7 linked regions of the Oryctolagus cuniculus genome follow. The main gene of each other region encodes a partner of the protein of the gene in region 3 in a complex. Links are inferred from orthologs where the notes say so. Each region holds a gene or a part of one and is shown on either strand. Other genes may lie near its edges.

What was found.
Region 1: CRNKL1 (region 3) and DHX16 share a complex: the UniProt entries of both Homo sapiens proteins name them as parts of the minor spliceosome. The link is inferred for Oryctolagus cuniculus from reciprocal best matches to the Homo sapiens genes CRNKL1 and DHX16.
Region 2: CRNKL1 (region 3) and BUD13 share a complex: the UniProt entries of both Homo sapiens proteins name them as parts of the minor spliceosome. The link is inferred for Oryctolagus cuniculus from reciprocal best matches to the Homo sapiens genes CRNKL1 and BUD13.
Region 4: CRNKL1 (region 3) and SF3B5 share a complex: the UniProt entries of both Homo sapiens proteins name them as parts of the minor spliceosome. The link is inferred for Oryctolagus cuniculus from reciprocal best matches to the Homo sapiens genes CRNKL1 and SF3B5.
Region 5: CRNKL1 (region 3) and GPKOW share a complex: the UniProt entries of both Homo sapiens proteins name them as parts of the minor spliceosome. The link is inferred for Oryctolagus cuniculus from reciprocal best matches to the Homo sapiens genes CRNKL1 and GPKOW.
Region 6: CRNKL1 (region 3) and CWC22 share a complex: the UniProt entries of both Homo sapiens proteins name them as parts of the minor spliceosome. The link is inferred for Oryctolagus cuniculus from reciprocal best matches to the Homo sapiens genes CRNKL1 and CWC22.
Region 7: CRNKL1 (region 3) and SNRPD2 share a complex: the UniProt entries of both Homo sapiens proteins name them as parts of the minor spliceosome. The link is inferred for Oryctolagus cuniculus from reciprocal best matches to the Homo sapiens genes CRNKL1 and SNRPD2.

Annotation. Positions count from the first base shown.
Region 1 is NC_091436.1:139,773,299-139,776,798, forward strand, and holds part of DHX16 (pre-mRNA-splicing factor ATP-dependent RNA helicase DHX16), read left to right. Parts: coding exon 1-193; intron 194-338; coding exon 339-437; intron 438-545; coding exon 546-698; intron 699-2,198; coding exon 2,199-2,339; intron 2,340-2,513; coding exon 2,514-2,676; intron 2,677-2,775; coding exon 2,776-2,894; intron 2,895-2,991; coding exon 2,992-3,059; intron 3,060-3,500. UniProt on the Homo sapiens protein: Required for pre-mRNA splicing as a component of the spliceosome. Contributes to pre-mRNA splicing after spliceosome formation and prior to the first transesterification reaction.
Region 2 is NC_091432.1:108,946,649-108,950,657, reverse strand, and holds the start of BUD13 (BUD13 homolog), read left to right. Parts: upstream 1-1,209; 5' UTR 1,210-1,240; intron 1,241-4,009. UniProt on the Homo sapiens protein: Involved in pre-mRNA splicing as component of the activated spliceosome. As a component of the minor spliceosome, involved in the splicing of U12-type introns in pre-mRNAs.
Region 3 is NC_091442.1:44,666,546-44,670,045, forward strand, and holds part of CRNKL1 (crooked neck-like protein 1), read right to left. Parts: intron 2,836-3,500; coding exon 2,677-2,835; intron 2,230-2,676; coding exon 2,063-2,229; intron 1-2,062. UniProt on the Homo sapiens protein: Involved in pre-mRNA splicing process. As a component of the minor spliceosome, involved in the splicing of U12-type introns in pre-mRNAs.
Region 4 is NC_091436.1:24,439,438-24,442,162, reverse strand, and holds SF3B5 (splicing factor 3B subunit 5), read right to left. Parts: upstream 1,233-2,725; 5' UTR 1,089-1,232; coding exon 828-1,088; 3' UTR 501-827; downstream 1-500. UniProt on the Homo sapiens protein: Component of the 17S U2 SnRNP complex of the spliceosome, a large ribonucleoprotein complex that removes introns from transcribed pre-mRNAs.
Region 5 is NC_091453.1:34,252,582-34,256,661, forward strand, and holds the start of GPKOW (G-patch domain and KOW motifs-containing protein), read right to left. Parts: upstream 2,801-4,080; 5' UTR 2,767-2,800; coding exon 2,591-2,766; intron 1,818-2,590; coding exon 1,663-1,817; intron 1,558-1,662; coding exon 1,433-1,557; intron 1-1,432. UniProt on the Homo sapiens protein: RNA-binding protein involved in pre-mRNA splicing. As a component of the minor spliceosome, involved in the splicing of U12-type introns in pre-mRNAs.
Region 6 is NC_091434.1:61,123,408-61,126,907, reverse strand, and holds part of CWC22 (pre-mRNA-splicing factor CWC22 homolog), read right to left. Parts: intron 2,194-3,500; coding exon 2,092-2,193; intron 2,011-2,091; coding exon 1,772-2,010; intron 1-1,771. UniProt on the Homo sapiens protein: Required for pre-mRNA splicing as component of the spliceosome. As a component of the minor spliceosome, involved in the splicing of U12-type introns in pre-mRNAs. Promotes exon-junction complex (EJC) assembly.
Region 7 is NC_091449.1:11,279,628-11,281,738, reverse strand, and holds the end of SNRPD2 (small nuclear ribonucleoprotein Sm D2), read right to left. Parts: intron 804-2,111; coding exon 629-803; 3' UTR 501-628; downstream 1-500. UniProt on the Homo sapiens protein: Plays a role in pre-mRNA splicing as a core component of the spliceosomal U1, U2, U4 and U5 small nuclear ribonucleoproteins (snRNPs), the building blocks of the spliceosome.

The sequences.
Region 1 (3,500 bases), on a different chromosome or scaffold from region 3:
GGCGCATGAACGGACCCTACACACAGACATTCTCTTTGGGCTGATCAAGGATGTTGCTCGCTTCCGCCCTGAGCTCAAGGTCCTCGTGGCTTCAGCCACGCTGGACACTGCCCGTTTTTCCACCTTCTTTGATGACGCCCCTGTCTTCCGAATCCCCGGACGCAGGTTTCCGGTCGACATCTTCTATACCAAGGTGCCCTGCCCAGGGAGGATGGGCTTGAGTCCGGGTTGTCCCAGGGAGGGAAGTGGGAGGTGGGACAGAGCATGTGTCGAGCTGGGAAGGGAGGAGGGGTCTGCCTGAGCAGGCGGCCCTCCTGCGACCACATCTCTCCCCCCAGGCTCCGGAGGCTGACTACCTGGAAGCCTGTGTTGTGTCTGTGCTGCAGATCCACGTGACGCAGCCCCCCGGGGACATCCTGGTGTTCCTGACAGGACAGGTGTGTGACGTGCAGGGCCCGGGGAGGGGCTATCCCCGGGCAAGACAGTGCGGGCACGTGGGCCTTCGGTGACTGGAACCCCTGCTGCTCTCCCCACCCCCAATGCAGGAGGAGATCGAGGCTGCCTGTGAGATGCTCCAGGATCGCTGCCGCCGCCTGGGCTCCAAAATCCGGGAGCTGCTGGTCCTTCCCATTTATGCCAACCTGCCCTCCGACATGCAGGCCCGAATCTTCCAGCCCACGCCCCCTGGGGCACGAAAGGTCAGTTGTGAAAGCCTTACTGCGCACCTCTTGCTGTGCACAAATGGTAGTGAAAGGGAGGGTGGCTGCCTGACCCATACAAGGCGTGTCCTGGGCCCAGCTGCAGACGCAGGCTGAGGAGCAGCCAGTCCCTCACTGCAGGCTGGAGAGAGAGGATGAATACCGCAGGACTGAGAGCGAGCGCACGGTCGGAAAGGAAGTACTGCAGGGAAGGGAAGCCCGGGTGTGCCAGCAGGAAGGATCTGGTGTGGAGCTTTCAGAAAAACCCCTGGGGAGGTCACTGGAAGGCCAAGGTGGGGCTGCGGTGAGGGTGAAAGCCACTGTGCATGGAGATTAGGGAGGCCTTTGATGGCAGGCAGGAGAGGCTGGGCTTTCGACTTTGAGTAGAGCTGTAACTCACTCCACATTTAGTGTGTCCCTCCAGTGTGCCAACCACTGTTCCAGGGGCTGAGGATACAGTGGCAGAAAAACAAAGTCCTTAGCCTCACAGAACCCACAGTGCGATGGGCGGAGATAGCGGACGCGTGAAAGTATGGTGCTTACTTCCAGCAAGTGCTGTGAGGAGACGCAAGGCAGCATAGAGAGCTGAGACCAGCCCTGGGGGCGGGGAGTGGGGAACAGCAGGAGGGCATTTCCCTTACAGTACAGGGGAGGAAGTGGAGCAGAGGCCTACACCAGGTGAGGAAGGGAGCAGCTGTTGCACAGGATCTGCCAGAGGGGTGTGCTGGGGGGTCCAGGCCTGGGCAGTGAGAGGGGGCTGAGGGCAGAAAGGCAGCCAGGGCCCAGGTTCAGGGCTTTAGGGAACTTAGCTTTATTTCTAGAGCAGGATAGGAAACCATTCAGGCGGTCTGGGAGAGTGGTATGACAGGTTTGATTTATTCGTGTATTTGGGAAACAGAGCTGCCATCTGCTGGCTCACTCCTCAGATGCTGCGGTGGCAGGGGCCGGGCTGGGGCTGAAGCTGGGAGCTGGGAGCTGGGAATGCAGCCCAGGTCTCCCCTGTGGGAGGGAGGAGCCCCGTTACATGAGCCATCATCACTGCCTCACGGGGTCTGCATTGGCAGGAAGCTGGAGCTGGCAGTTGAACTCAGGTACTCTGACAAAGGATGTAGGTTTCTGAACCTCTAGGCTAAACGCCTGCTCCAGGTTTACATTTTAAGTGGGTCACTCTGGATGCCATGTGACAGGGACTAGCAGTAGGAAGAGGGAGACTTGTTAGGAGGCCATCGCAGGAAGTGGTAGCATGAAGAAAATCAATAACGTGGTGCAGGGGAGAGGGGGGGCGGGCGTCTGGAAACTTCCACCTCGCCTCCCTGAAGGAACTCCAAGTCCTCTTCACATCCTCCCCTCTTCAGGCCTTTGCTGACCGTCCCCACCACGGCCCTCCCACCTTCTATGGCCTGGCCCCTCCCCTGACCTCGGCCCTGGTTCCTCATCTCCCGCCCCGCCTGCCCCTGCTTCTCCACTCCTAGCTTCCCAGGGTTACGTTTGCTCTTTCAGGTGGTTGTGGCAACAAACATTGCCGAGACGTCGCTGACCATTGAGGGCATCATTTATGTGCTGGATCCAGGCTTCTGTAAGCAAAAGAGCTACAACCCCCGCACAGGCATGGAATCCCTCACTGTCACACCTTGTAGCAAGGTCAGCCTGGGTCTCTGTGGGCTGGAGAGAGGTGGAATTATCCTGCAGGGAGGGTCAGCCCAGAAGCAGCTTCTTAGAGGGTGGGGGACAAGCAGTCTACAAATGCCCAGGTTTCTTGTGTACATACCGCCCTTGAACTGTCAGATTGTCAGCCAGCCTCTCCTTTCTCTGCAGGCCTCAGCCAATCAGCGGGCTGGCCGCGCGGGCCGGGTGGCCGCGGGGAAGTGCTTCCGTCTGTATACCGCCTGGGCCTATCAGCATGAGCTTGAGGAGACCACGGTGCCTGAGATCCAGAGGACCAGCCTGGGCAACGTCGTGCTGCTGCTCAAAAGCTTAGGTGACTGGGCTACCCCAGTCCTCCTGAGTGGAGGGAGGTGGGGCTAGAGTGCCTGGTCCTGGTGAGAAGGTCCTGTTCTATTCCCATGCCCTTCCCCAGGGATCCACGACCTGATGCACTTTGATTTCCTGGACCCTCCACCATATGAGACCCTGCTGCTGGCTCTGGAGCAGCTGTATGCTCTAGGAGCCCTCAACCACCTCGGGGAGCTCACCACGGTGAGATGGGAGGGCAGGAGGAGGGCTGGGGGCCCTGGGGACCGCTGCAGCGGTGCAGGGAAACCTGAGGGAGGATTGGCTCCGATTTTCTCTTTAGTCTGGTCGAAAGATGGCAGAGCTGCCAGTGGACCCCATGCTGTCTAAAATGATCTTGGCCTCCGAGAAGTAAGTCCTCCCCCACCCCGCCTTGGGGCTCCAGCACACACACTGGCCGTGCCTCCCCTGTTTCCATGGCCATCTCTCTCTGTATTTCTCCATCATACTGTCCTTTAACAGTAACGTAATTGGATAACCCTCACTGCCCTTTTTGAGGCCCATAAGGGTCACTAATACACTGTCCTGTCGTTGGTCATGGTATTAAATGGGCCAGAGCGACAGGAAATCCGGGAGCAAGAGTGAGCACAGAAGTGGAGGCTCTTTTCTCTGTGAGGGGTGCCGAGGGAGGGCTCATTCTGGAGCTGCCTCCGCTAAGGCTTCCCGCTAGAACATTCAGATGTGACTGTGGAGGGACCACCTTGAAATGCCGTTCTCCCGCTGCGGTGTAGGCCACAGGTCTGCCCAGTGCACGCAGCCCCAGAGATCCCCTGTGGATACCCCTCCTGGGAA
Region 2 (4,009 bases), on a different chromosome or scaffold from region 3:
GAGAGAGAGAACTTCCAGCTGCTGGGTCCCTCCCTATATGGCCACAATGGCTAGGGCTGGGCAGGCTGAAGGCCGGAGCCAGCAGCTTCTTCCAGGTCACCCATATGAGTGCAGGTGCCCAAACACCTGGGCCATCTTTCACTGCCTTCCCAGGCACATTTGCCAGGAGCTGGACCAGAAGTCGAGCAGTGGGTAGCAAGGGCATAAGCACTCCTGGGCTGCCTTTCCTAGACAAGCAGCAGGGAGCTGGATCGGAAGTGGAGCAGCTGGGTCTCAAACAAATCCCCATATGGGGTGCCAGCATTAAAGGTGGCTTTACCCTCTATGCCCCAACACTGGGCCTGTTTTGCTTTTCTAAAGCTGAGAATAATTATAGCTTTTGTATTCATGATTAAACTACCCAGGTTAAATAAAATTTCAGTTATCTTTGCTGTTAACTGAAGTTGTATCCTTTCTCTGTTGGATCTGAGTTTGAGCAACTTCGATCTACAATAAGTCCTTTTTTTTTTTTTTAGACTTTTTAAACTTTTTATTATTTATTTCAAATAGTTACAGAGAGAACGGTAGAGACAGAGAGAGAGTTCTTCTATTCGCTGGTGCAAGGGCCAGAGCTGCACCGATCCAAAGCCAGGAGCTTCTTCCGGGTCTCCCACATTTGTACATGGGGCCCAAGGACTTGGGCCATCTTCTACTGCTTTCCCAGGCCATAGCAGAGAGCTGGATTGGAAGAGGAGCAGCCGGGACTAGAACTGGTGCCCATATGGGATGCTCGTGCTTCAGGCCAGGACTTTAACCCGCTGTATCATGATGCGGGCCCCTACAATAAATCTTTAATTTATCCTTTTTTGTTTTTCAAGTAAATTTTGTTTATTCATAAACATAACTTAGTTCACAAAGGTTTTTTTTTTTTTTTTTTTTTTTGGACAGACAGAGTGGATAGTGAGAGAGAGAGAGAGAGAGAGAGAGAGAAAGGTCTTCCTTTTGCCGTTGGTTCACCCTCCAATGGCCGCCACGGCTGGTGCACTGCAACCGGCATACCGCGCTGATCTGAAGGCAGGAGCCAGGTGCTTATCCTGATCTCCCATGGGATGCAGGGCCCAAGCACTTGGGCCATCCTCCACTGCCTTCCCGGGCCATAGCAGAGAGTTGGCTTGGAAGAGGGGCAACCGGGAAAGAATCCGGCGCCCCGACTGGGACTAGAACCCGGTGTGCTGGTGCTGCTACTTGGAGGATTAGCCTAGTGAGCCGTGGCGCCGGCCGTTCACAAAGTTTTTAAAAATTTTGTCTGCAGACTTTTAACATAAAGGCCTAAGAGTGACAAGCAGGTGTCGGGGGAATATATTAAAAACAAAAGTATCTTTGGTGATTAAAAAAAACTTGGAAACCTATTATTCTAATTATTTTACAGGGTTTTTCTAGTTGCAAAATATTACAAGTCAATGAAAAAGAGAATATTTGTAGCTTTGTTTCACTAAGTGTTGAATAGGGTCATCTGGGCAAAGACCACAAAGATTGTGAGCAGGGACAGAAAACCTTTGGCTGACTAGAGGAGTGAGAGAAGGGAAGACTGCCAGTGTTAGCAAGGATTGATCAGAAGTGTCTGTTCATATGTGGGGAGAAAAATGGGAAAGAGGCAATTCTTGACAGAGTGATATAAGCAAAGATATGAAAACATGATAGTGCAAGTCATTTTTTAGAGACAGTAAATGCATCAGTTTAGTATTAAAAGATGATGAGAAAGTAGTTTGAGGCTAATGTATGAAGGCCTTTAAAGATAAAACTGGGTGCTGGTGTTGTGGCCTATGGGTTAAGCTACTGCCTGCAGCGCCAGAATCCCATATGAGTGCTGGTTTGAGTATTGGCTGCTCCACTTCCAATCCAGCTGCCTGCTAATGCACCTGGGAAAGCAGTGGAGGATGGCCCAAGTGTCTGGGCCCCTGCACCCATGTGGGAGATCTGGAAGAAGCTCCTGGCTCCTGGCTTCAGATCCGCCCAGCTCTGGCCATTGCGGCCATTTAGGGAGTGAACCATCGGATGGAAGACACTTTCTCTTTGTGTGTGTTTGTGTGTGTCTAACCCTACCTTTCAAATAAATAAAATCTTTAAAAAAACATAAAAACTTAACGCCTTGGGAAAAGTTAACAGCTGCAAGTGTGATGGTGCCATGAAGATTCCAGTTCTGTGAAATGACTATTGACTTGCTTGAGGATGTCCTGTATTTTCAAGTATAAAGAGTGATGTCTGGTGCTTGAAGGTATTAACTTTTTTTAAGGTATTTAAGCGATAATCAGAGAGAGATTGTAGTGATAGACAACCAAGCGGGAACCTCATTTTATTAAAGTTTTTAAACAATACCTTACAAAATTTTGTGTGTGAATGAATTCTCAGTAAATCCCAAACAGCTTCTCTCAGTGCTAAAAACTGGCTGATAAGTGCCGTTGAATTCTTTGTAAACCTAACAAAACTTAACAGAATTTCTCATTCTGGGAAAGAAATGATTTTCTCTATGTAATTTCTTTAGAAAACTGCTTGAGAATAGTTCATTATTATGTGTAACAGTGGTCAGAAATATTTCTCTCCATGGTACAAAACAATGACTCAACCAAAACCTAGGAATGTAATCAAAATGCACCCATACTATTAGGTACAAGTTCAGACAGTCCCTGTTTGCCCTCCTTTTTATTACTCCTTCTTACCCCATTGTGGTTTAGCCTGACTAATCTATTTGCAACACATCAACATTCTGCAGAAGTTTTGTAGTTTCTATTTGAAGGGAACAAACTGGAGGGCTGTGGAAATTTCAGATTTCATCTCAGATAGTATTTGTTAGTAGTGTGTGTGTGTGTTTGTGTATTCTTAAACAACAATCCTTTTTTAAAAAGTTAGTGTCACTTGAGAGGGAGGAGAGACAGCCAGAGAGAGGGAGGGAGAGTGAGAAAGGGTGCTCCCACCTGCTAGTTCACTCCCCAAATGTCCCCATCAGCCAGGACTAGGGTGGTTTGAAGTTGGGAGCTGGGAAGTCAGTCCAGTTCTCCCACATGAATGACAGGGATCCAATCACTTGAGTCATCACCAGGAAGTACATTATTAGGAAGCTGTAGTCAGGAGCCAGGGCCAGGAGCACCTGGGAGGTTTTATTTATTTATTTATTTATTTGAGTGGCAAAGTTATAGACAGAGAGAGGGAGAGACAGAGAGGTCAGTCTTCCATCCACTGGTTCACTCCCGAAATGGCTGCAACAGCTGGAGCTGGGCCAATCTGAAGGCAAGAGCCAGGGGCTTCTTCTGGGTCTCCCATGCAGGTGTTGGGACCAAGAACTCTGGATATCTTCCACTGCCTTCCCTGGCCACCAACAGAGAGGAGCAGCTGGGACACAAACCAGTGCTGCAAGTGGAAGCTTAATCCACTAAGCCACAGCGACAGCCCCCCTGTAATGTCATTTAAATGAAGCGAGGAATGAAGGCTTCCTCTAGAGGAACAGCCTTTAAATGCAGAAAAGGGAGCAGACGTTTAGCCCAGTTAAAATGCCGGTTAAAGACATCTCTGCCTGATATCTGAGTACCTGGGTTTAGCACCTGGCTTTGGCTTCTGGCTCCAGCTTTCTGCTAATGTAGACCTGTGTGGCAATGATCATAGCTCCAGTAATTGGGTCCTTGCTATATGTGGGAGACCCAGATTGAGTCCCGAGTTCCTGGCTTTGGCATGGCCCAATCCTGGCCATTTTGGGCAGTTGGGGAGTGAACGCCACTGGATAAAAGCTCGCTCTCTCGTTCTCTCTCTGCCTCTCAAGTTTAAAAAAAATCAAAGAAGAAATTAAAGAGGACAGTGGCCTTGGGGACAGGGAATGGAGTGTGCTTGGCATATAATTTAATATGTCAGCAGAGAAGAGTTCCACAGTAAGCTGGAACAGCCCTGCTGATGTAATGGGTATAGTCTGAGGGAACGGAAAAAAGATCGTTTAGCAGAAGGAAAAAAAAAAAAGATTGTAGTATCCTTAGAAGGCCTTGAA
Region 3 (3,500 bases):
TCTGGCTCTCCGCAAATGTGCCAGGGAGAGAAGTGGATGATGGCCCAAGTAGCTGGGCCCCCACATCCACTTGGGAGACCCAGATGGAGTTCCAGGCTCCTGGCTTGAGCTTGGCCCAGCCCCAGCCATTACAGTCATTTGTGGAGTGAACCAGTGGATGGAAGCAAATACATTCCCACCCCCACCCCTCTCCCTCTCCCTTTAAATAATTTAAAAAAATTATTTGAGCTAACAACTAAAGAAGAAACAACAAGCCACAAAAATAACACTGCTAACTAGAGCCAAAGGAATATGTTTTACATTGCCACTTTATCTAACAGAACATAACTATTTTTAATCTCACTTCCTTGAAGAAGTCGTTGATTTCCAAAGTAGTACATTTACACATGGCAAAAGGTGTTAAGGGCACTGGTCCTAAAGCTGCTCTGCAGGGTTTTTTGTTTTGTTTTAAAGATTTATTTATTTGAAAGTCAGGGTGACAGAGAGTGAGAGTGAGAGAGAGGGAGGGAGAGGTCTTCCATCCTCTGGTTCACTCCCCAGTTGGCCGCAATTGCCAGAGCTGTGCCGGTCCAAAGCCAGGAGCTTCTTCCAGGTCTCCCACATGGGTGCAGGGACAGAAGGACTTAGGCCATCTTCTACTGCTTTCCCAGGCCATAGCAGAGAGCGGGATCGGAAGTGGAGCAGCTGGGAATCAAACTGGCGCCCATATAGGATGCTGGCACTGCAGGTGGCGGCTTTACCTGCTATGGCACAGTGCTGGCCCCTGCAGTTTTTTTTTGACAGGCAGAGTGGACAGTGAGAGAGAGAGACAGAGAGAAAGGTCTTCCTTTGCCGTTAGTTCACCCTCCAATGGCCACCGCGGCTGGTGTGCTAAGGCTGGCGCATAGCGCCGATCCAAAGCCAGGAGCAAGGTGCTTCTTCTGGTCTCCCGTGCAGGTGCAGGGCCCAAGCACTTCGGCCATCCTCCACTGCACTCCCGGGCCACAACAGAAGTCTGGCCTGGAAGAGGGGCAACCGGGACAGAATCCAGCACCCCAACTGGGACTAGAACCCGGTGTGCCGGCGCCGCAGGCGGAGGATTAGCCTAGTGAGCCGTGGCGCCAGCCATGGACATTCATCTTAGTCATCTCTCTCCCATCTTGACCTTAGGTTAAGTATTTCCATTTGGGTCAAGAAATCAGTGTGTAGGAGAGGGATGCTATTTTCACAACAGTTAAGTGGACAAGAAATGGATAGTTTGCCTACATTAAAGTACATTAAATTCATGTATCTTGATTTAAAATCATGTAAGAACTACCAGTTCTATATACATCTTCACTGTTTTACTTGGGGCTTATTCTAGCCTTAAATGTAAGTGAAGTGTTAGGAATACACACAGGCTGCTTGTCTGGAGTTGTTATTACCTATTAGAAGAACTCAGTGAGTGGTGACCACCAGGAAAAGTCTAAAGCTGCCTCCAAATTTAACATAATAGGAGTTTAAGGAATTCATTATATTTTTGTTTTGTCTGTGACTTATGTTTTTACTTTTTTTTTTTTTTTTTTTGACAGGCAGAGCTAGACAGTGAGAGAGAGAGACAGAGAAAAAGGTCTTCCTTCTGTTGGTAACCCCCCAAATGGCCGCTACGGCCGGCGCACTGCGCTGATCCAAAGCCAGGAGCCAGGAGCTTCCTCCTGGTCTCCCATGCGGGTGCAGGGCCCAAGCACTTGGACCATCCTCCACTGCACTCCTGGGCCATAGCAGAGAGCTGGCCTGGAAGAGGAGCAATCGGGACAGAATCCGGCGCCCCGACCATGACGAGAACCTGGGGTGCTGGCACCGCAGGCAGAGGATTAGCCTAGTGAGCTGCGGCGCCGGCCGTGAGACTTGTGTTTTTAAAGATGGGTTTAGGGCCCAGCGCCGTGGTGCACTAGGTTAATCCTCCACCTGCGGCGCTGGCACCCCATATGGGCGCTGGTTCTAGTCTGAGGATCTGGAACTTCCCATTAACGACTCTGTGTCCCGGCCATGACAAGAGCTGCCCCCAGGGCAGTGCACCACTCAGAGCTCATCCAAAGGATATATCGTTCATAAATGGTGCGGGCCCGCTCCACCTCTTTGTACCTCAGCTCGAAGTTGATGTAGGAGTGCCAGGCTTGCTCCTCGGGCTGCCACTCCATCCAGCGCTCAAACACCTGGCGAGCACCCGCAATGTTCCCCAGCATCTCCTCCATGTACGTGTACTTGTACCTTCAACACAGTGACCCAAGACACCTGTTGTACTCCAAGCGTCTTAGTGCAAACACCATCTTTGACAATTTCTAGTTCTCCCTTTATTTAATGAAAAAACTTAAGGTTTTATCTTTCCTAACGGTTAATGCAAACATTTTCTTAATGAAATATAAATCTGAACAAGATGAACTATTAGGAAAACATTTTTTTCTTAAAAGTTGCTAGTTAAATGTGAAGTTTTTAGGCACAAATGATTGCAATTAGCACTTTAGTTTTGATCACATGTGATTAGCTATTAAACGTTTTGATTATGAGTTAATAAACTATAAGGCATTATAAAGCTCTTACAGGATGTTTAAAGTAAAAGTAGACTGCAACATTAATCTAAACAATAAACTGTGTGAGTAAAACAAACACAACAGCATTTTCCAGTCTGAGAGGCTGCTCTGCTAGATCAGGACTTACCAGAACTGGTTGACTCTGGGCAGAGTCGTGATGGCCCGGTCCCAGATATTACGGGCATGGTTGACCTGGCGATTTTTCATTTCCATTTCTGCATACTTCAGCCAGAGCGTAATATTTCGGTAGTCCACATCTAAAGCACGCTCGTATATGGAGCGAGCCCTGAGGAGGCAAGAAGTGAGGGTCTCAGAAGCAGAACAGACAATGCATGGCAGTTACATCAAGCTACCGGCAATGCCCTGATGTTTTATTGGGTGTTTACTGTAAGTCAGGTTTGGGGCATAAAAAAACGAAAAGATGGTGTTCTCAAATAGCTTACAAAATCTATGGAAAGATAAACACGTGTGTGATTACAATGCAGGTCACAGTCGAGTCCTGCAGAGGAAGCAGACACAGAAATGGCAATGTCTGCTGAATGAGCTAAGTGGAGGTAACTCCAGAACGGAGAACATGAGGACAGCCGAGTTTACCAGGACAAGGCTGGTGGGAAGGTGTGCTCCTCCCAGGCACACAGAACTGGAAAGTAACGTGGCAAGGAGAAATGATGTGCTCAGAGTGTGCTGAGAACTTAGGCCCAGCACAAGCAGGGGCTGTGAGGGTATGGAAAGGCTGGACAAGGGCCAGGTCGTGATTTTCAGCTTGTTCACCACTGGTACTGGGTGGAACATTTTTATTTCAAATTTTCAATAAATAGAATTAGACACAGAGTGAATGCTACACCTTACAACCTCCGCCTGCCATTCACCCCAGACCATACTAACACAGTGCCCCTCAAGCCCCTTTGAAGGAACCGCAGGGCTCCAGGAAACGAAAGTTGGACATTACTA
Region 4 (2,725 bases), on a different chromosome or scaffold from region 3:
CCACTCTGCCTGTCAAAAATAAAAAAATTAAAAAAAATAATAAAATTTCATTTATTTTAAAGTTAGAAATACAGAGTCGGAGAAAGAGAATCTTCCATCTGCTGGTTCACTCCCCAGATGGCAGCAATGGCCAGGGCTGGGTTAGACTGAAACCTGGAGCTTCTTTCGGGTCTCCCACATGGGTGCCTGTGGCCCAAGCACTTGGGCTACCCTTCTCTGCTTTCCCAGGAGCATTAGCAAGAAGTTGGATCAGAAGTGCAGGGGCCAGGCCTCCAACCAGCTGCCCATATAGGATGCTGGCACTGCAGGCGGAGGCTTAACCTTCCAGGGGCTTTCTGAAGCTCCCCAAAGGGCATGCTGGGCGGATTTCAGTGCCTGGCAAGGCAGGCTGGTTCTGTGCCCTCCACCCACCCTCTCCTACTTGCACACGCACAGAACCTTTGGTTCCGAGTCCTCCCCAGCCTTCTCCCCTGGAACACAAACAGATCACACCAAGAGACTTAACAGATTCTAAACTTTATGAAAAAGGCAACGCGACAATCAACTAAGTCAAACACGAGCCTCCAAATCCCCTCACTCCAGTGCCGTCTTCCCCAACGCCCGCCAGCTCTCGGACCTCTTCACCCGCAGTTCTCAGGGAGCCCCGGCGGTCCTGGTGCTGCGTCCCGAGGGATCCACGTGAAGACAGCACCGGCGGGACACCTCGGCGAGCACTTCTGCACCCGGAAGGCCGGAGAAGCAAGGAGTCGCGGAAGAACCAGTCCACTGGAGACAGGAACGCGCGGGCAACGCCGGCGATCGGGAGGCTCGCTGGAGGAGGCGCCGTCTCAGTTTTCCTCGGGCTTGTCAGCGGGGGGGCCGCAAGGCTGCAGCATCTTCTCCATCAAGTTGAAGCGCACTCGCGCTTTGCTCTCATTCTCCGCGATGGCGAAGTAGTTGAGAAGGTCGAAGTGGCCCATGTAGGAGCAGTAGGAGTCGCGGTGCTGGTTCACCAGCCACTCCCACTTGGTGGTGTCGGCGTGGCCCGTGCCGATGTACTTGGACTGCAGGTGCTCCAGCTGGCTGTGGATGGTGTAGCGGTCTGTCATCTTGCCGCTTTCCCTTTCGCTCCGAAGTCAGAAGTCGCACGAGGGTTAGGAACCGGTCTCGGGTTTCCCGCCGGAGAAAGGCCAGCACACGGAACCGGCAGCCTCGCTCAGTCGCAGAGAAATTGCGTCACAGCGACGGAGTGGCGGAGGACGCGGAAGCGGAAGCACATTTTGAAGCCGTATTGGAGTTGCCCTAGCGACACTGAAACTGTCCCGCCCCTTTAACAGAGTCCCGCCCCCCGCCCTCGGAGAGCGTTGCATGATGGTCCACTTGGTGGTCCGTGGGTGGCCCTGTACTGACGTAGCGTCTTGCATGCTGGGATTTGTGGTCTCTTCCGAGACCGCGGTTTAAGAGCTGAATGGAGGGCAGAACCCCAGAGGCGGGGAGCATGCGTTGTCGGCCCGGTGCTAAGAGAAAGTGGGCCAGTGGGCCAGTGGCACAGGCAACCAAGAAAATAAACCCTTGGTGTAATTAGGCGCTGACGAGGCGGCACGGTAGCCCCTTCACAATCGGGTGGCTTACTGAGGTCGGCAGACGCGACCTCTGGTCCCACGCTCTAGCGGGGCCGCCGTTCCCGTTCGGTGACCCTGCACAGCCCCGGGGCCGAGTCGCTTGGGCGCCCCCGGCGCACACTCCTTCGGTCTCGCCTCTCGGGCTGGTGGCCCCCGGCGACTCCACGCCGACCCCCACGACCCCGGCCCGCACTCGGCCAGGTGCCGCGCGCGCCCGCGTCCCCTTCGGAGCCGTTAGCGCCCGCGGGAAAGGCTTTGTTCCCGCGGCGACGCGTCTGCCTTCGGTTGGCTCCTCCTTTGCATCTGATTTTCGCTTTATGTTTTACCTTTTGGTTTAAAATTCACGGCGGTAGAAATACTTGAGGAAAAAACAAACCCATACTTATCTTAGGATATCCTTTTTGGATATTCGTACAGCCTGATAGATTGTGTTCTCCAAAAAACAGTTGAGGGATAGAGAGACAACTACAGCCAAAGAGAGGAACGCTGCCCGGAGAGCAAGAACTTTAAAAAGCAGTTTTGTTTTGCTCTTTTCAGCTTGACAATTCATTCCTAAAGTGTGGAAAATTTATAAGGTATATCTTTGGCTTCATCCTCTAGGTGTATCAAACCTTGACATTTTGCCGTATTTGTCCTGATTTTGTTTTGATTTTTAAGAGATAAATTCTGCAAATAAACGTTCTCCGCGTTCCCTTCCCTCATCTCTTGGACACTGTCCTGGATTTAATGTCAATCATTCTGTTTTCCAATTGCTGAAAGTTTGTGTATCCATAAACAATAGCTGATAGGCATGGTTTAAACCTATGAGTAGCATATATAATGCTGTAAAAGTTGCTTTTACTCTTGTCAGTATCCTCATTGATATATGAAACTTTAATTCTTTTATACTGTTCAATATTAGCCACTGGATCAATATACCATAACGTGTCCACTCTCAGTAATGGGTTGTTTTCATATTTTTTCTTGAAAATTTATTTGAAAAAGAGTGAGAGAGGGAGACACAGAGAGAGAGCTTCCATTCTCTGGTTCACTCCCCAAACGGTAAAGGCTAGGAGCTTCATCCAATTCTTGAACATGGTTACAGGGCCCAAATATTTGCACCGTTTTACACTGCTTTTCCCAGG
Region 5 (4,080 bases), on a different chromosome or scaffold from region 3:
GCAGAGAGGACAGTAAGAGCAAAGGCTCTGAGGCCAAACAAAACTCGGTGTGTGTGAAGAGTATTATGAAAATCAACATGACTGGAACAGGGACATGGGGGCAGAGGAGCATGGGTAAGGGGTCAATCAGGAGAGCTGGGTGCAGGAGGCAGACAACCTGCAGGCAGGTGGAGGTCACATGAGGGGCCAGCGAGAAAGTCACTGCAGTCGTCCAGATGTGCGGTGCTGGTGGTGATGAGAAGTGAAATTCTGGATGCATTTAGAAAAAAGGCAAAGACGGCGTTGACAGATCATACGTGGGGGTATGACAGAGAGAGGGAGGGGCAAAGATGACGGCAAGGTTTGGAGCTGAGGGAGAGGAAGGACTATGGAAGTGTGATCAATTGACAGGTGGAAGGCTGCTGGAGGGGGCTTGTCAGAGGGAAAATGAGAAACAAGGCCAGAGCTGGAACAGGATGAAGAGTAAATGGAGGGTCTTTGTTTGTTTTTTAATGAAAGACACCAGAGCACAAATGAAGGTGGATGAGTTCACTTCTAATCACCCCAGTTAAAGCCAGGATGGTCGATGCTCTGTGGCCATAGGAGAAGTAGGCCCTGAGGAAGCAGTGCAAAATACTTATGAATGAACAGGTGAGAAGTCGAGTCCAAGATATGGACAGACTTGCTTACTTCCATGGCCCTGCCGCTACCCTTTCCTGTGGTCGCTTCCCGTCGTTACTCCTTCAATCCTTTCATTCACTCATTCCAGACACACAAGTTGTCTCACTAACAGACACACCACACAGCCTTCCTGCCATGGCCTGCTCGGGCAGCTGCTACCATTAGGAATACTCACCCTGCTCTTGCCTCTCTCGCTAAACCCTACCTCGCCTTCTCTCACGCCACTTGGATCTGAGTCCTTACCATCTCTGGTCTAGACTGCTGGGCTCCCTGCTTCTACCTTCACTTACTAGTCTGTTGTGTTCACAGTAGATTCTGTTGAATCATAAGTCGCATCCTTTCTCTGCCTAGGGCCCACCCATGGCTATCATTTCATTCAGGGTAAAAGCCAAAGTTCTCATCATGACCCACAAAGCCCTGCCTGGTCTCGCCGCACCCCCTCCACTGCCACCTGACTTCTCTTACTAATTCCAGTCCAGCCGCGTTGGTCTCCTTGGTGTTTGTCAAACACTCCAGGCAGTGTCCACCCTCATGGCTATTATATTTCCTCTTCCCTCTGCCTCTCACCCCATTCAGACAATCCTAGGATCCAACTTCATATTCCAATATCTGGATTCATGTGTTAATGTTCCCAAAAAGGCTGGAAGGAGGAAGAGCTAGGCAGTAGGCCTCCAGTGTACACACAGACTTTCTTTGCTGTGTGTAAGAAGGCATGCATGGCAGACAGGGCAAGGAGAAACCAAGGGAGCAAGGGGGTAAGGGGCCAACTCACAGTTTCAGCTGAGTGTTCGCTGTCTACCCCTTCCTTGTTGGAGGTGTATCCTTTCTGGATCATGGGGATAGTGAGCATGGAGTCGGCATTTGCATTCTTTCTTTCTTCCAGGGACTTCTCGGTTTCTAAGGAAGAATGGGAGGGAGCAATGAGGTCCCACCCCATGTATCTTCCACCTTCTTCCTTGTCTTTCTTCACTGGAGCAGGGTGGGGAGAGGGGGCCCACTTACCCTCAATCAGTTCCTTCACAGCCTGGGACAGCACCTCATCCATCAAGGTCTTGGTGTCTGTGGATAGCCCAGAGGGCTGGACCAGGGGCTGCCTGTGATAGCCATTCTGAATCAAGGGAATGACAGGTTCCTTGGGGACCTCTGAGGGCTTCACACTGATGTGGACAAAGAAAGGTAAGGTGAGGAGAGAAGCAGGGTCCGTGGGTTCCAGCTACACCCCCCCTATGCAGAGAAACACAAGAGCCAAGCCCCCTCCTAGCTCCATGGACCATGCCTCTGATTGCACGTCATTGTCCCTCCAGCCCTTAAATGACAGTATCTTCCAGGAATCATTGCCAGGCCGTCTGTTCATCCCAAGAACTACAGATGACCATTTGCAGCCAGACTCTTCCCAGCTCCAGAACAGCCTCCTAGGCGGTTGCTTCTCTTCTGCGAGTCCCTCCCTCAGGCACTTCAGCCTCTTCTTTCCTAAAGATGCTGATGCGGCCTCCCTCAACCTGAATCTGCAGCTCCATCTCGTTCCCCGTATTAGAGTCGCCCCCATTCACTTTAGCTGAGACAACAGGGTCCTGTAATTATTCCCTCTTTCCCACTTATCTGAACGCACACACCAGAGTGTCCCAGCATCATAAAGGTATTCCCTGTCATGAATGTGAGGGCATTTCAAAAAGTCCATGGAAATGAATACTGAAATAATGCGCATTTCCCACGAACTTTCTGAAGTATCCTTATACATCTTCTCAGTCCACACGGCCATGAAAAGCAACTTCCCTACTTCTCCCACAAGCTCCTGCCTTCTCTCCTCCACGGATTTCCTGAGGCCGTGGTTCAGGCTTTCCAGGCCACTGTCATCAAAGCAAACTACTCGAGTCCTCCCGCTCGCACCCACGGCACCGATTTACAAGGGGCGAAAGACCCGGCGCTTCACCTTTGTAGCTGCCTCCCTTCCACGGTCTTCAAGAAATCCTTCTCCTCTGGGGCGGACTCTGCGCCATCACTTAGGGCCACCAGCCGCCTCCGAGAGGACGTACGAGTAAAGGCGAATGAAATTGGGGCAGTAGAAGGTGCAGTCGGCTGCAAAACACCATCTTCGGCGTCTGCCATCTTGCCCCAGTTCCCAGGCTGGTGCGCTGCTTGCTGGGAAGTTTAGTTTGGGTTCAATTCGCTAGCGGCAGTCAGACAAGCGCAAGAACTACATTTCCCAAAAAGCATTGCGGCGTCGGCCGACGAAACCAAACAACTAGCCGTAGGAAGTTATTGTAGCGCGTCTGAATTTCACAGGAATGCGCCTGCGCCAAGTATACCGGGAACTGTAGTTCCGCCAAGAGGCGGTAGCGGTAGAAGGTAGATTCCTTCTTCCCAGGAGTTCGTTTCTTCTTGTTTTAGAGAATGGTCTTGAAAACAGGTATTCCATTATTCTAACAATCTCATGGCTATGTTTCCAGTTTAGAAACCCTGGGCATCTTGGGATGGGCCCTGAACTCCCAAAGGAACAGCTACAGTAACTTTCAAAACAGAGCAATAAATTTTTAAAAAATCTTTATTCAGCAATACTTTTAGACTTACATGTCGCGAAGTAATACTGTTCTTTTTTTTTAAAAAAAGATTTATTTATTTGAAAGTCAGAGTTACACAGAGAGAGGAGAGGCAGAGAGAGAGAGAGAGAGAGAGAGAGAGAGAGGTCTTCCATCCAATTGTTCACTCCCCAGATGGCCACAATGGCCAGAGCTGTGCCGATCCGAAGCCAGGAGCCAGGAGCCTCTTCCCAGTCTCCCACGTGGGTGCAGGGACCCAAGGACTTGGGCCATCTTCTACTGCTTTCCCGGGCCATACCAGAGAGCTACACAGGAAGTGGAGCAGCCAGGTCTCGAACCGGTGCTCATATGGGATGCCGGCACTTCAGGCCAGGGCGTTAACCCACTGCACCACAGTGCCAGCCCCAAGTAGTGTTCTTTTATATCTTTTATCCAGATACTCTTAAGCTTTTTATATAACAATAGTATAATTATCAAAATCAGAATGATGCAATACTATTAGCTGTAGACAATTTTCTGTTCCAGAATTCAGAATTAAACCTAAGATCACATATTGCAATATAATTGCAATGCCTCCTTTCTCTTCTTCAGTCTTGTGGCAGCTTCTCAGTCTTTCTTGACTTCTAACTCTTGCAAAGTACAGTTCATTTTTTTGTAGAACCTTCCTCAGATAGGTTTGTCTGATGATTTCTCATTGTTGGACTGAGGTTATGAATGTTTGGCAAAAAATGATGCAGAAATGATGTGCCCTTCTAACTATATCATACTAGGGGATTTGTGATGTTGATATGTCTTATTACAAATGAAGTGAGCATGGATCACATGGTGCTATAGTTTGAATATTTATCTCTCTTCACTCAGGAGTTTAGTCCTGAAAGGATTT
Region 6 (3,500 bases), on a different chromosome or scaffold from region 3:
CAACCCAGCTCTCTGCTATGGCCTGGGAAAGCAGCAGAAGATGGCCCAAGTGCTTGGGCCCCTGCACCCATGTGGGAGACTGGAAGAAGCTCCTGGCTCCTGGCTTCAGATTGGCTTAACTCTGGCAGTGCAGTGGTTTGAGAAGTGAACCAGAGGAAGGAAGACCTTTTTCTCTGTCTCCCCTCTCACTGCTCTAACTCTACTTCTCAAATAAATATATAAAATCTTTTTTTTTTTATTTGACAAATAAGAGTTAGAGAGAGAGAGAAAGACAGAAAAGTCTTCCTTCCGTTGGTTCACCCCCCAAATGGCTGCTACAGCTGGAGCTATGCTGATCCGAAGCCAGGAACCAGGTGCTTCCTCCTGGTCTCCCATGTGGGTGTAGGTGCCCAAGCACTTGGCCATCCTCCACTGCTTTCCCGGGCCACAGCAGAGAGCTGGACTGCAAGAGGAGCAACTGGGACTAGAATCCAGCACCCATATGGGATGCTGACGCTGCAGGCGGAGGATTAACCAAGTGAGCCACAGCGCCGGCCCCAAATATATAAAATCTTTAAAAACAAACAAACAAAAAAAACCCTGGTTGATAGTATTTACTAAAGTCAAACACAAACACATGCTATGACATCTGATTATCAGCAATAATTACATGCTATATTATCTGATATACCACCTGTAGGTATATACCCAAAGGAAATGTGCACACACATACACACATATACACAAACGTTTCTTGTCCAATGATGGGGCTATGTCCCAATAAATCAATTCCAAGTTAAAAATACCAAGATGAAAATGACTAAACTCCGAAACATAACTTAGTTTAGCCTATCTTAAATGTGCTCAGAATACTCAACATTAGCCTACAGTTGAGCATCATGAGAGCAATGTATGGCATTACCCCAGCCCAGGAAAAGATCAAAATACATAATTCAAAGTACAGCTTTTATGGAATGCATATGGACTATCATAGTCAAAAACTCCTAAGATGAACCATTGTAGGTTGGGGACTATCTGTGTATATATGATCAGCAAAAGTTATGTACAAGAGTATTCATGGGAACACTATCTGTAAATTTACATGTCCACTGACTAAAAAGATAATAGGATTACAGTATATTCATGAAGTAGAGAACTGTAACAGGAATGAATGAACTATACCTAAATGCAATTCTATACAAGAATCTCACAAACGTAATGTTGAAAGAAATGTCAGACATAGAGGATTCGTAATGCACAGTTCTGAAGTTACAACATACAAAACGAATCTATAGAATTACAAATCAGAATAGTAGCAGATAGGCCAGAGGGAGGGCAGTTACTGGGAGAGGGAACAAGGAGAAATTCTGGCCAGAGTGCTAGCTATTCACATAGCACACAGGACAAGCACTGCATGTGTGGTATATGTCAATCACTAAAATAAAGCTTTGCTATTAGAAGAAAAGCCAAAACATTTTTTTTTTTTCAAATAAAAGCATCAGGCAACTGTTATACATTATATTAAGTTGACACCACGATAAACACATGCCCATGAAGTATCTTGGCTTCGATGAAGAGGATTCCAACAGGTAATGTTGGCATTGTAGATGCTGTAATACACTAACACATTGTAATAGTGACGGATGATTGTGCATATTATTAACTAAAGCTTTAAACAACTCAACTCTAAAACAAGCAATACAATACAATCACTTTCTTCCGTCATTATAAATACCACCAGCAATACGCTTGTTAGCAAAGAGCAGGATAGGTTATGGAGAAGCTTCAATACCTGAGGCCGAGCTGTGACTCCCGGAGGATGAAGAATCGCTCTCCTCACTGGAGGACCCTGAACTGCTATCACTGCTGTCAGAGTCAGAGTCAGAGTCAGAGTCAGAGTCAGAGGAGTCGGACTCCGACGAGGAGGACGCTGATGACGAAGAAGACAGGGAGGATTTATTTGGTTCAACATCTGGTTTCTGAGCCACTATGACTTTTGGTGTGTTTTTGAGATGCTCACGCAATTCATCCCTAATTAAAAACATAGTCTGTTAGATTCTGTCTCAAAGGCAACTGTAAGGTAATTGTGTAAGGTGAAAACAAAATTCTTACGTTAAACCTCCAAGACCTATAGAAGTAAAGAAGTTGATGGCAAATCGAGTGTTTCTTGGATTATCTCGGGGTAACAACCCTTCAAAGAATGGCTGTAGGGTTCTATAAAAGAAAAAAAAATGAATGGAAGAGAACAAAAAGACAAAAATCCTTACAGTTATTTTGCAGACTTCCAGTATATTAAATAAACAAATGAAATAATAAATGGTGGTGTATGCCTCTTATTAGGTTATGCTACCTGCTATCTAAATGAAATGAGTAGGGTCAAGTAATAATATACTAAGCTGAATTTTTAAAAACTTTTCACTCGTGTCAACACAGAAGAATACACATGGACACATACATATATGTGTGTGTATGGTATACATATATAAAATTTTTTAAAGGTTTACTTACTTATCTGAAAGTCAGAGTTACACAGAGAGAGAAGCAGAGGCAGAGAGAGAGAGAGAGGTCTTCCATCCGCTGGTTTACTCCCCAGTTGGCCAAAATGGCTGGAGCTGTGTCAATTCGAAGCCAGGAGCCAGGAGCTTCTTCTGGGTCTCCCACATGGGTACAGGGGCCCAAGGACTTGGACCTTCTTCTACTGTTTTCTAGCCAGAGAGCTGGATAGGAAGTAGAGCAGCTGGGACTTCAACCAGTGCCCATATGGGATGCCTGTGTGGCTTTACCTGCTAAGCCACAGCGCCAGCCCCCGTATTTAAGATTTAAAAAAAACCCGCTTGTATTTTAATATATACACAGGCATGTGTACACAACACTGAGAGATATGAGGAAGGAGTCAACAAAAGGGAGACATTTAGGATTGAGGACTGCATAGAATTACTCTATTTACAGAGCAGGGCAAACAGAAAAACATTAACAATGTACTGTGGTTCTGATCAATTCTGAGTGCCACACTGAATGACTACTAGATGGAGTCAGGAAAACGTTTCATAGAAAAAGGTAAACTATTATAAAAAGAATGATTAAGAGTTTGCTAGACAGATGAAAAAGAGAGGGGACTGCCAGTTGTAGAAACAGAAATAAAGAAACATCAACAGCCAGACAGGCTTGACACGATGGCAGTGGAGATGTGGCTACAGTGCCATTTGCTAAAGGAATTGAGCCTGGTACAACTGACAGGAACCAGAGTCAGTAAGTATATGAAGCCAGGAGAAGTGGATGGAATAGCCCACAGATAGCATCCAGAACCCAGGACAGACCTCAGGTGAACCTTAACACTGGAGAGGCCAGCTGAGGAGGAGACGGAGACTAAGGATAAAGTGAGAAGTCACAGTGAGCAAGTGACCAACTGCTAAAGACAGGCAGAGAAGTAAAGGGGCATAAGGACTGACTACAGCATTTGGCAGTGGTCATGGAAGAAGCTGGGAAGGATGCTTCAATGGTGTCCACTGATTACAAAACAT
Region 7 (2,111 bases), on a different chromosome or scaffold from region 3:
AGCGGCGAAGCCACAGGCGTGGGTGTGGATCCTGGCACCACCACGTCCTGCCTGGGTGCCCCTGGGGGGTGACGCTGCCTCTCTGGGCCTCAGTTCCCTCCTGTGCAACACGTAACACACAGGCTGACAGCGCCGACACCCAGCTGAGGCGGGTCCAGGGCTGTCCCGGGCACTGTTGCACGGGGCGGGGCACACAGGAGGCCCCTGCCTTGTCGGCACGAATGCAAACAAAGTCCAGAAGAAACCCGGGCAAGGACAAAGCCCTGAGAGGCAGGGGGCGGAAGAGGGCGACAGGGAGACCAGGAGAGCCAGGGAAAGGCGCACAGAACTCGCGCCAGCCTGAACTGAACGGCCACTCCCACGTGACTGGCTGCTGTGGACGGGGAAGTGAGCCAGGCGGGGCGCAGACCGGCCTCCCCCCGCAGGTCCTGGCCCCAGCCCGGTGGCCGCCCTCTCCCAGGTGCGCCCCGCCCGCGAGGCGCTGGAGCAGACAGACCCGCTAGAAAACACGCTGGGGCTTTATTGACGCAGGGCGGGGCGGGGCCAGCGCAGGGCGGGGCGGCGCCCTACTTGCCGGCGATGAGCGGGGCGGGGCCGGCGCAGGGCGGGGCGGGCGCAGGGCGGCGCCCTACTTGCCGGCGATGAGCGGGTTGCGCAGCACCACGATGACCGAGTCCCCGCGCAGGAACATCTTGGAGATGTAGCGGTCCTTGTTGACCGGCTTGGACTTCTTCTTGCCCTTGCCGCTCTTGGGGACCTCGGTCCACATCTCCTTCACGTTCTCCAGCACCATGTTGCAGTGCCTGCGGGGGGCGGGGGGGGGGCAGGGTCAAGGGGAGCCTCTGGCCCGCCCCGCCGAGCCGTGCTGGGCGTGGGGAAGGGACAGCCGCCCTGCAGCCCCCGCTGCCCCCGCCCCCCCTGCGCCTGTGTCCTCCTCCCCGAGACGGAGACAGCGGTGCTGCCGAGGAACTGCGGGGGAGCTTCCGCCTGCTGGTCACTCCCCAGATGCCAGCAACACCCGAGTGCCACGCGGTGGCAGGGACCTAAGCACTTGGGCCACCACCTGCCGCCTCACAGGGACCACTGGGCCGGGAGCAGAACTAGGACTGAACCCAACACAGCAGGCAGGCGTCCAGAGTGGGCCCGGAAGTGCCCTTCCTCCGGGTCTCCCACGCGGTGCAGGGCCCAAGCACTTGGGCCATCCTCCACTGCACTCCCGGGCCACAGCAGAGAGCGGGCCTGGAAGAGGGGCAGCCGGGACTTGAACCGGTGCCTGTATGGATGCAGGCGTCGCAGGTGGAGGCTTAGCCCACTACAACACAGCAGCGGTCCAGGGATTTTTTTTTTTTTTTTTTTTTTTTTTGAAGGATGCAGTTATTTATTTGAAAGGCAGAGTTAGAGAGAGAGAGATGGAGAGAAAGATTGTTCCTTCCACACACTGGCTTACTCTCCGAATGGCTGTAACGGCCAGGCTGGGCCTGGGCAAAGCTGGGAGCTTTCTCTGGGCCCCCCAGCTGAGTGGCAGGGGCCCATGTGCTCCGCCAGCTTCTGCTGCTCTCCCCGGCACGTCAGCAGGGAGCTGCGTCAGAAATGGAGTGGCTGGGACTTGAACCAGCGCCCATATGGGACGCAGGTGTTGTAGGCAGCAGTTTAACCCGCAGTACACAGATGCCAGTCCTGGGATTAAAAGAAAAAAAAAAAAAAGGATAAGAAGGGGCTGGCACTGTGGATCAGCGGGTTAAAGCCATAGCCTGCAGCACCGGCATCCTATATGGTTGCCTGTTCGAGTCCCAGGTGCTCCACTTCGGCTCCAACTCCTGCTGATGCACCCAGAAAAGCAGAAGATGGCCGAATCCTTGGGTCTCTGCACCCACATGGGAGACCCGGAAGTGGCTGCAGTTCCCGGCTCTGGCCTGGCCCAGCCTCAGCCCATGCGGCCGCTTGGGGACTGCACCAGCGATGGAAGATCTCACTCTCACTCCCTCTCTGTAATTGTGCCTTTCAAAAAAAAAAAAAGGCTGGCGCCGTGGCTCACTAGGCTAATCCTCCGCCTAGCGGCGCCGGCACACCGGGTTCTAGTCCCGGTCGGGGCGCCGGATTCTGTCCCGGTT